Yarrowia lipolytica: one gene and its partners. The protein of the gene in region 1 purifies or fractionates together with the protein of each later gene. This does not show direct contact. Links are inferred from orthologs where the notes say so. Each region holds a gene or a part of one and is shown in the gene's direction. Other genes may lie near its edges.

Region 1 (3,752 bases):
AACAATATATACAGGATGATTCTATAAGAACTACATGTAGTGTTGCACCACAAGAGCGTAGAAGTTACGACATGTTGAAAAATGTTCCGGATCTAAAATCAATTATCGAGTCCCACACTCAGGGTATACGTTATAGATTGTTTTTTTGCAAAACTATTATATTCTCCAAGTACAGTATATACATTAGGGAGGCGGCCTGCTGCTGCTGTTCTTACCACTGAGTCCCTGTGCATAGAGTTAAGGTCCCGGATAAGCTGGTTTGGTGAAATATTGAGGACCCTTGCATTCATGTGCGAGAATCTATTGTATTATATTTATTGTATGTACTGTACAGCCGATACGAGTGGACCACGAGCTGGCTATTTTACTGTATGTGCATTCTGGGCACCCATAGCGTAGAGTACCGGTATTTCTTCAGCTCATAGCAAGGCTTTCCGCCAAGGGCTTTCTCAGTTCCATCAAGGTTGTAAATTAGTACAGAAAGTACTTGAGAAGTGCCAATAACTACTTAGTTCTTACAGTAGTAGTACACTCGTGGTACTTCGGCCTGATGAGAAGAAGCTCGTACGAAATCGGTAAACACGGTGGCAAAAAAACGACCGAAAAACATAGGTGCGTTCAATTGAAGGTGACACCAGTGTACTAAATCGCTCGAGTTAGGCCCCGTGGAGCTTCTATTCGCTGCTGTCTCTAACTCCACAGTATTCGTGCTTGGAGATTACCTAATATCGCACGCCAGACATGTCCCAACTGCACCCTACAGTACTAACTTTCAGATTGAGACAAGTGTGGCAATTCATCATCTGGATCAACACCATGTCATCAGCAGAAGAAGTGAGTGAAAAAGAAATGGAGAACGATGAACCGAAAGTACAGCCGTGCTAACACAGATTCGTCTCAAGCGTCTAGCTCGTCTAGGAGGAGGAGCTTCCAGTCCCTCTCCTGGTCCTTCCGAGTCCAGGAAGGCAGAGGGGACACCTAAGGAGGAGGTGAAGAAGGAGGTGAAGGAGGTGAAGGAAGTGAAGAAGGATGAGCCCAAAAGCACACCTGCGATCAAACCCAAGATCAAGATTGTGCCCAAGGCCGCTGCTTCTGCCGCCACAGGCACATCGACCCCAAAATCCGCTGCACCACGACCAGCTCCAGCTCCCTCGGCTTCGCTGACCGTGCCGTTCCAGCAGTACGAGCAGGACGCAATTGAAAGCATTCTGCGAATCACAGTGCGAGACAAGCAGCGATGCACGCAACTTGCATCGGTCAAGGAGGAACTGGAGTCGGAAAACAAGCCCGTGGCGCTCTCCAGAGACAATCTCGAAGATGCGCTCTTCAGCCACCTCACAGGATCCAAGGCAGTCTTCAACTATCTCATGGAGAGCTTTCTGCGGGCCAAGAAAGACTTGGCAGTGCTCAACAAGGCTGGCACGGACGCTGTCGATGTAGAGCCCAAGAAAGAGCTGGTCAGAAATATTATGGAAATGACCACCCGATATGGACTGCTGTTTGTGTCTGTTCCAGACATGTACGAGCAGGCCCAAGGCATTATGGAGGTGCTGAAACTGTCACAGAACGGCTCATTGTCGTGGGAGTTCGTGGACGAGATCTTCTCACGTGCCCAGACCGACGGAGACATGGGCTCTGTTGCGGGCAAGATTCTGCAGGACGTCAACGGGCTGATTCTCAGCGCCAATCAGGACGCCTCCCAGTCGGCCACCGCTGCTCTCTACTTTGTGTCGCACCTGTTCAGCAACAAGCTGTTTGCTTCTGCTGTGCCCGAAATTGAAGGCTTTGTCGAAAGTGGCACCAACGACGAAAAACCCGCAGACATTGAGAAGAACCCCCATGGTCTCGGCCCCGTTTTTGCCATTTCTCCTTTGCATGGTTCTACCGCTCTCACCTTCTTCCCCATCGGTACTCCTGAGCAAATGATGGATCCCCGTGGCAACGCCGCCAACGGAGTGCGAGCCGAGTCGCGAATCGTGCAGGACCAGCTGTTCCAGATTGTCGACAAGATTGTGCGGGCGTCTCCACAGGCACGAGACTGTATTCTGCAGTACTTTGGCCGCGTGCTCAAGTGCAACCACAGAAGACGAGCCACTCGACTGCAAGAAGGCACCACATCTTCTGACGGCTTTCTGCTCAACATATTTTTTGTGTTGCTCAAACTGGCAGACCCGTTTGTCGATAACGCCTGTTCCAAGATTGACAAGATTGACATTGACTACTACAGCCGAACCAAAAACGCGGTAATTGACATTTCCGAGGAGACCAAGATCCACGCCGACTCCACCGAGGCCGCAGAGTACTACGGAGACGAAAAGAATGCCGATAAGAAAGACCTGGCTCCTAACTTCATTTCCCATGTGTTTTTCCTCACCGCCGGATACCTATACTACGGTTTTGGAGGTGCCCAGCAGCAGGTGACACGTCTCAAGGAGCACCATGACCAGGTTAGAGACTACCTTGACAACTCGCGGATCCAGTATGCCAATGTTCCCGAGGCTCAACGGGGAGCAGTGAACATGCAGCTACAGAAGGTGGAGAAGATGGTGGGTTCTTTGGCGGCCCAGCGAGCAGCCATTCTGGCCGTCATCTCCGAGCAGGACGTGTGTGTCCAGGTGCTGCAGTTTGCTATTTTCCAAATGCATTATCTCATCCGAGTTCTGGACCCCTCTCACACTTATCCCCTGGGTGGCGAAGTTACTCTGCCCCTGTACACTGGAGAGAACACGGGACCTATTGCTTACCTCCCCGAGTACCTAATCGAGGGTCCTGTTGGCATTGTAAACGTCATGTGTCGTCACAACACCATTCTGGCCATGTTGTCTCCCTTGGTGGACGTTTCTGCTCTCGTCACCTTTGGAGTGGTCTTTCTGCGACACTCGGACGTGATCAAGAACCCACATCAGAAGAGCAAGATTGTAGAGATGTTGTTTTGCGGCACCCAGCCCATCTACAACCAGAATGATGGCTTCTTGGTGTCTACATTCAACTCGCAGAAACTGGCACTGGAGTCGCTTATGCATTCGCTCATGAACATCTATATCGAGTTTGAGCAGACTGGAGCACATACTCAGTTCTACGACAAGTTTAACATTCGGTACTATGTGTCGCAGATCATCGAGTCTATCTGGAACAATGTCAACTATCAGAAGCGGCTGGAAAAGGAATCCCATGACAACATTGACTTCTTTGTGCGGTTTGTGGCGCTGCTGCTCAACGATGTCACCTATCTCATGGATGAGTCGGTCAGCAGTCTCACGGAGATTCGGCAGATTGAGGCGGAACTGGCTGCCATGACCGAGGAAGAGAAGAACTCCACTCACGCCCAGGAGCTGCAGAAGAAGTTCAAGACAGCCGAGCGCAACATCAAGGGGTGGATGCCTCTCACCAACAAGAACATGAAGCTTCTTGATTTGTTCACCCAGGCTGTCCCCAAGTCGTTTGTATCGCCCGAAATCGTCGACCGACTAGCTGCCATGATGAACCACAACCTCAAGGCGCTGGTTGGCCCTCGATGTCGTGATCTCAAGGTCAAAAACATGCTAAAGTACGGCTTCGACCCCAAGGATCTGCTGGTCAAGCTTTCCAAGGCTTACTACAACCTGCACAAGCAGGACGCGTTTATCCAGGCTGTGGCTCGAGACGGCCGATCGTTTGACCCGGCAAACTTCACACGTGCTATTGAGCTCATCTCGCGTTTCAACCTTATGCCTAGAGAGTACCTGGATCAGATTGTGGCACTTCGAGACAAA
Region 2 (3,706 bases), on another chromosome or scaffold:
ACATGGTTTGGGCCCAGTTTTCGGCGTATGTGTTGGCCTCAGCGGCACAGTCGTTGAGCTCCATTTCGATCATCTTCTCCCACGCGGTGAACTGATGCAGCAGATCATCTCCAATGGATCCCGCCTCGTGAAGAGCAGTCAGATGGGGCTTGGCCTCCTTGGTTTTGATGATTCGCTTGATGTTTTCCGCCGACCGTCGTAGAAGAGCGGCCTTGAGCACCTTTTCGGATGGACGGGGCGACGTGTGGTCCCGCAGAGTGAAGTAGATGTCTCGGGGAATGTGATCGGGGTACCACGGTTCGACTCCTGCCAGGTTGACCGCCTGCCGGGATCGGTAGATCTTGCCAAACACGGCCAGCGCCGTCACAAGCACGGCAAAGTAGATGAAGGGCGTGTAGATGGAAACGCCGCTGCTGCTTTCCATTGTCGGTCTTTTGTCGGTCTGTTGTGTGTGTGTGTGTGTGTGTGTGGTGTTAACAGAGGTAACGTTACGTGTGTCTCGTTCTTGTTAGACTCTCTTCGCTTCGGCCACCTATGAATAACTCTATTTGCACTGGAGAAAGAAGGTGTAGTATAATCAGCTACGCGCGTTGCATAGACGAGGCTGGAGAGGACGACAGAGTGTGGTCACGTGGATGTTTTTTTGGTTGCAATTGTTTTTTAATGGTTGTATACGCGTCCCGAGGATATCGTTGCTTTTTTTCCAGAACCAGATTTGGGCTATTTTGGGGTAGTTTTAGACGACAGTCGAAGAGGTTCTAGAGTTTATGTAGTTACTTGGCTTTGCTACATAATGATACTTGAGATTTAATTAGAACATGCCAATGTGGGATGGTATTAGGTAAGCCGAGTGAAGTGTTTAGAGTCTAGTTGTGGCTACAAATATGAGTACGAGTACACGAATTTGTGTTTGTGGCCACCAATTTCTGAACCGACCGTTCAAGCATCCTTTTCATTGGCTGTACACATGCCATCCGCCATTATGCCCGCGCTTACAGTAGTATTATCATTTAGGCTGCTAATTATACTGTATGAAACTTGTACATGATCATCAGCCCCAAACTAGGACACCTTCAAACGGCGTTTCCGAATGTTTAAAGACCCGAAATACTCTCCTTCACCACTGTAATACATATTGAGGCAATATCTTGACCTCTTGGTACGATACTACAGACGTCACACTGTCTGTCGCCATCCAGCTACTTTTTTTATATATACTGTTTTGTTTTTTATTTTATTGATTCTCCAAGTAGAGCCAAATATCTTTAACAAACTCTAAATCCTCACTCGGATATGCTTGTCCCAGTGGCAACAGGAAGCTCCATCTCAACATCATCTCTATCAACCACTACTTTCGAGAATGGTGAGTACTGCAGACACAAACAGCTGTGGAATTGTGCCCAGACTAACTCAGATCCTGCGATTCCGGTCCAAAAAGGGCACTCTTCGAGCGGAGGCCCAGCCCACAGATCTCTTCGATGTGGCGTTCAAGAAGCTCACTGAAGACCTGCCAGACATCGATCCCGCCACAATCACCCTTGCCACGTCACCCACAGGCAAGCAGGAACCGGCCTCTCGTCTTCTGGGTAAAACCGTCCAGAAGCTGGGGCTTAATCATGGTGATATGCTGTTTGTCAGCTACACAGACTCGGCCCCACGAGCTGCTGTGGAGGCTGTGACGGCCGAAACCGCTCCCCAAATGACCGCGGCACACATTCGAGACGCCACCAAACAATTGCCTGTCGATGACTATCTCGAGAAACAAGATGGAAAGATCAAGCGACAGCTATCAGCACTCCAGCAGCGAAAGTTTGGATCCAGAGGTATGGGCGAAGACACTCTTCCAGTCGACCCCTGGGACGAGGAGTATCTCAAGGAGCAGAAGATTAAGCATATGAGCTACCATGCCTACGTCAAAAAGCTCAATTCGCAGGCGAACAAGAAGAATGGAGGCGGATACATTGCCCCCCTGAATGTGTCGGATTTCGGAGTGTCCAAGAGCTGTACAGGAGCCCATGCTCCCTGGCCCGAAGGAATCTGTTCCCGATGCCAGCCCTCGGCTATTACTCTGCAATCACAGCCTTTTCGAATGGTTGATCATGTGGAGTTTGCAGAGTCAGGTATGATCAACAGCTTTATTGAGCCCTGGCGTCAGTCCGGAACACAGCGTATCGGCTGGATGTACGGCCACTACGAACCCTACGAACTTGTGCCTCTCGGCATCAAGGCTGTTGTTGAGGCAATCTATGAGCCTGCCCAGAGTGGTGAGTATGACGGTATCACCATTACTGAAATTACCCAGGCAGACGGTCAGCCTCAACCTCCTCATATTGCCACTGCCGAGGCGTGTGGACTGGTGCCTCTGGGCGTCATTTTCACCGATCTGGTTGATGCTGGCAATGGAGATGGTTCTGTCATCTGCAAACGACACGCGGATTCGTACTTTTTGTCGTCTCTGGAGGTGGCATTCGCTGGAGCCATGCAGGCACGTTTCCCCAACAAGTCGCGGTGGTCACCAACGTCTGAATTTTCGTCCAAGTTTGTCACTGCCGTGATTTCCGGTAACCCCAAGGGCGAGATTGATGTATCGTGCTACCAGGTGTCTGAGCAGTGTGAGGCTATGGCCCGCGCAGATCTCATCGAGCCCAGCATCAACCCGTCGGTGCTGCTGGTCAAGGAAGCTACAAAGACACGATATGTTCCCGACGTGTTTTACAAGAAGAACAACGAGTACGGACGGACGGTGCTCCAGGGAGCCAACCCACAGCTTCCTGTAGACTACATGTTGGTTACACTGACCCATGGCTTCCCCCAGGACCCCAGGCCTTTGTTCTCATCCGGCCTGTCGTCTTTCCCTGTGGAGAACCGAGAGCTGATTGGAGTGACCCAGAGCCCCCAGGCACTAGGAAAGGCTCTGGACTCTGGGTCTGCTGGAGGAGCTGTTTCCAACTTCCATCTGCTGAGCTACATTCAGTCCATGGGTGTGCTATCTGCTGAGGAGTTCCAGTTGTTGGCCAAGGTGGCTACGGAAAAGAAGGATGAGGACGTGAGTCGGTTGGTTGCCAGTGAGGGCTGGAACAATCTACTGTTGATCATCCAGTGATGGACGAGTATATAATGGGTGCATTACAATTTCTATCATGCCGACTTGTGTCGTACAGTACGAGTCCAAGTATCATGCACTACTTGTAGCTACTGTACAATCAAAGTCCGATCCTTAGCGGCGAGTAAATTGCAAGTCTAGCAGCATACAGTAATGATGTCTTGGATGTCTGATCATGACGTCAACTTTATCGCTCGAAATACCATTTTTGTAGTCCGTTGAGAGCCATATTGCAACTGTCGAATCATAGCAACTACAGTATGACGAGAGCACATGTTGTTGCCAAACAGGTACGGCAGTAAAAGTGGCACCGTGCGGGTACTGAACAATAATCTATGGTTGCCATTGTTTCTGTAGGAGGAGAATGTTCCCGCACCTTCTATAGCCACGTGCAGCAGTTTGGATGGAACATATCATCTCATCTTTCTTGTGTTGAATAAATGTACGAAATCGCGATAATCGAGGCCAATTGGCGAAATCCAAGTTGGTACAGCCCTTTTCCGCCGTTGCCCCTCGCCATTCTGGTATCACACGCCCCATCCGCCTGATACTGTATGGTTCTAAGACAGTTTTGGATACTTGCTCTGAGGCAGCGCTATCGAT
Region 3 (3,752 bases), on another chromosome or scaffold:
AGCTTGAATAATTTATTTCCCCTTTGGCTTCATTTTTTCATGCACCAACTTTATCGCAAAAAAATGGAACTTAAAATTCCTAGTCTGAAAAATCAGTTTTATATCCGGCTACACAAACAACTACACAACTTCGTTGCCATGACGGAAAATCGCATCAGACAAGTCTTCAGGGAACGCAAAGAACAGGGCAAAACAGTGACCGTGGCAGGACCTATGGTTCGGTACTCAAAACTGCCGTTCAGAGCTCTGGTACGCCATTTCGACTGTGATGTGGTATACTCACCCATGATGCTGGCTCGGGAATTCTGTCGAAACCAGACAGCCCGGCTCTGCGACTTCACAACCAACAAAGACGATTTCCCGCTTATCGTGCAACTTGGAGGCAACAACGCGGAAGATATGGTCAAGGCTGTCAAGATGCTGCAACCGTATGTGGACGGAGTAGGAATCAACTGTGGATGTCCTATCAAGGAGCAGATCCGAGAGGGAGTTGGAGCAGCGCTGATGACGGCTCCCGATCTGGTTGCAGAGATGGTGGCTGCTATTCGTAAGGAATGTGGTGCTGAAATATACGTGGAGGTGAAGATGCGGATTCACAAGGACCTGAATGACACGGTGCACTTTGCCAAGCTTGTGGAGGCTGCTGGAGCTGATTCTATCAGCGTGCATGGCCGGCTGGTTCCACAAAGAAGCAGAACGGCCCCTAACTACGACGGAATCAAGATTGTCAAAGATTCTGTCGACGTTCCTGTCATCGCCAACGGAGACGCATTTACAACTACTAACATCGAGGAGATTGTCGAGCTGACGGGCTGCGACGGAGTCATGGCTGCGCGAGGCATTCTCAGCAACCCAGCAATGTTTGCAGGATACACAAAGACGCCCTGGAGAGCAGTGGAGCTATTCTGGGACTACGTCACAGCTTATGGACTTCCATATGCTCTTACGATCCACCACTTTTCGGAAATGTTGGAGGCAGAGCTAACGAGGTACGAGAAGAAGGACCTCAACAACTGTAAGAACATGGTGGAGCTGATCAACTGGTTTGATGACCGGTTTGACCTCAAGCGACCTGGAGATGAGGACTTTGCTATCAGAGACGAGTATCCCTGGAAGAACAGAACAAGTTTTGTATATAACTAGAGGTGGGAATGGTGCATAATAGATTGATAGAATACTACAACTACTGTATGTACTGTACTCGTACTATATACTGTAGGTGCCGGTACTACACATCCGAACTATTCGGATGTAATTTTTATCACGACGTGCCTATAATTTAATCTACATTGGTCGTAAACGGATGATTTAAGAAGAATGGACTGATAATAGCACAAAACCAACTTGTGAAGTAACACTTTTCGAGCCAATATTTTCACATATCTATTTTCACCCTATTAATCCTTAGTAATCTGAATGTTCCAGATGGATTTTAGCGTGCATGTCAGAAGCGGCAATGATTCATCCTTCCAACAAGTGCGTCATCAACCCACTTTGATCCAGTGACTATAAAGGGCTTGATCGGCAACAGAAACGACCCATTAAAACACACACATTCACTCTAATCGACGCATAATTCATCTATCAAAATGGCAAAAGCAAAGCAAGCACCTACGGCATACTTTCTGTACGACCTGCCTGAGTCTATTCTCAAGTCTCTCAAGGTGTATGATTTCAACGGAGTACTGCGATCTGAAGAGACGGAAGTTAAGCCATCGAGCCAGTTTTCTGCTGAAGAAAAGGCCTTCCATCGATACAATCACAAACTGCGTCTTCAGGGCTTGGCAGCTATTCGAAAACCAGAGTACGATCAACTGCTTAAAGATGGACTGACTGACACACAAAAAGACGACGATTCAGACAGCAACAGCAACAGCAACAGCAACAGCAACAGCAACAGCGAGGAGGATACAGAATCGGACAGTGACGAAGAGTTTGGACTGCCTCGAAAAATGGAACTGGCGTCGATCTCGGAAGCTGGAGATGGAGAAACGGCAAAAGACGAACTCAAGGGAAGCCCTGTCATCTTCCTCAAGAGCCCCGAAGTTGAACCTAAGACACTGACGGTCTACAAGAATGCACTGGGCCACGTATCACCCACTGAGTCGGGTATTCTTGGGGAGATTCAGCGGGTGAATACTCTTCCGGAGGCTACTTCTGTGATCATCATGGCTGGAGGAGGACATTTTGCTGCAGCGATCTTTCAACACTCGCCGAAAATCAAAAACACAATGGTTCCCCTAATTCTGGAAACCAAATCATTTCACAGATACACCACTCGTCGAAGCCAGGGAGGTTCCCAGAGTGCTTCTGATGGTTCAAAGGGTAAGGCCAAGTCTGTGGGTTCCTCTCTGCGACGATATGGAGAGAGCCAGTTGCAGATGGAGGTGAAGGAGTTGCTGACTTCTCCCGAGTGGAAGAAGCGTCTGTTACCTGGCCTTCCTACGTCTGCCGCTAACATTTACATTCGAGCCAGTGGAAAGGGCAGTCGTGGTCTTGTTCTTGGGTTCGAGGGATGTCCTATTCCCAAAAATGATTCCCGAGTCAAGAGTATCCCCTTCAACACCCGTCGAGCAAACTACACCGAGGTTCTGCGGTCCTGGACGGAACTGTCCACTGTCAAGGTTGTGGATGTGAGCAAAGAGGAAGAGGAGGCAGAAAAGACACGTGAAAAGGAGGCCGAGAAGGCTCGGAAGGAGCAGTCGCGTCTTGCAGCGGCTGAAGCCAAGAAGCAGAAGCAGCAGCAGTCCCAACCTACCACCGTACCACTCACTCCTCTCATGAAACAGACTTCTGAGATCACTGAGTTGATTCGAAAGAGTCGGGCTCCTAAGCTCATTTCGTACCTCAAACTGCAAAAGCTCAAGTCGCCCTACCAGCTGGAGTTCCCCGAAGGAGATAAGACAGGCACATTGTGTCCTACTGCTCTGCATTACGCCGCTAAAGAGGGTAGCGCTTACATTGTGAGTGTCTTGTTGAAGCAGCTAGGGGCCGATCCTACCGTTACCAACTCGTTTGGAAAGACTGCTTGGGATCTGGTTTCGGATAGTAAGACCCGGGACACTTTCCAGCTGGCAAGAGGAGCTCTTGGAGAAGACAAGTGGGACTGGAAAGCCAGTCATGTTGGAGAAGCTCTTACCGATGAGCAGATTGAACAGCGAGACAAAAAGGAGGCTGCTGAACACGACCAAAAGGTCAAACAGTCCATTGCCCAGCAGGAGGAGGAGCAGAAGGAAAAGGAGTCCAGCAAGAGATACGAAAAGATTGTCGCCAAGAGTGGACTGGGAAAGAGACTGCCTCAGATGGCCACCAAGCTGGAGGACACTAGAGGTCTTTCTGATGAAGCAAAGATGAGACTCGAGCGAGAGAGACGAGCTCGAGCTGCCGAAGCACGGTTTGCAAAAAAATAAGGCTAAATAGAATCACTGTAGACACTAGCGTGCTAATATATATTCTCATGAATGCTGAACAGAGACTGCTTGTAGCCTTGTGACGGATAACAGAAAGCAAGAGTGGGGAACAATGAGTGTATTGAGTGAATGGGCTATAAATACGACATACAGTAAGTACAAAATAGTTGTGTAGTGAAACATGTTCGTACTACGAAAAATTCAAAAAATAACGCTTGGTATTCCCTAACGATATGATCATGCGGAGGATCGAACTCCGAGCCTCCCCGGTGTGAGCGGGACGTGATAACCATTACACCACACGACCTGGCTATTACTTTTAAGGACCAACTATCTTACTAA

The links.
Region 2: the proteins of YALI1_D15523g (region 1) and YALI1_E16174g purify together in Saccharomyces cerevisiae (affinity purification with mass spectrometry; 3 studies listed by BioGRID, with this or other methods). This does not show direct contact. The link is inferred for Yarrowia lipolytica from reciprocal best matches to the Saccharomyces cerevisiae genes UFD2 and NPL4.
Region 3: the proteins of YALI1_D15523g (region 1) and YALI1_E30958g purify together in Saccharomyces cerevisiae (affinity purification with western blotting; 3 studies listed by BioGRID, with this or other methods). This does not show direct contact. The link is inferred for Yarrowia lipolytica from reciprocal best matches to the Saccharomyces cerevisiae genes UFD2 and VMS1.

Annotation. Positions count from the first base shown.
Region 1 is NC_090773.1:1,551,498-1,555,249, forward strand, and holds the start of YALI1_D15523g (uncharacterized protein), read left to right. Parts: upstream 1-816; coding exon 817-834; intron 835-890; coding exon 891-3,752. UniProt on the Saccharomyces cerevisiae protein: E4 ubiquitin chain-elongation enzyme specifically involved in polyubiquitin chain assembly.
Region 2 is NC_090774.1:1,616,030-1,619,735, forward strand, and holds YALI1_E16174g (uncharacterized protein), read left to right. Parts: upstream 1-1,360; coding exon 1,361-3,103; downstream 3,104-3,706. Other genes in the region: YALI1_E16164g (uncharacterized protein), read right to left, coding at 1-424; YALI1_E16194g (uncharacterized protein), read right to left, coding at 3,277-3,436, 3,480-3,520. UniProt on the Saccharomyces cerevisiae protein: Substrate-recruiting cofactor of the CDC48-NPL4-UFD1 segregase. Assists CDC48 in the dislocation of misfolded, polyubiquitinated ERAD substrates that are subsequently delivered to the proteasome for degradation.
Region 3 is NC_090774.1:3,094,282-3,098,033, forward strand, and holds YALI1_E30958g (uncharacterized protein), read left to right. Parts: upstream 1-1,589; coding exon 1,590-3,410; downstream 3,411-3,752. Other genes in the region: YALI1_E30943g (uncharacterized protein), read left to right, coding at 1-1,143. UniProt on the Saccharomyces cerevisiae protein: Endonuclease that cleaves polypeptidyl-tRNAs downstream of the ribosome-associated quality control (RQC) pathway to release incompletely synthesized polypeptides for degradation.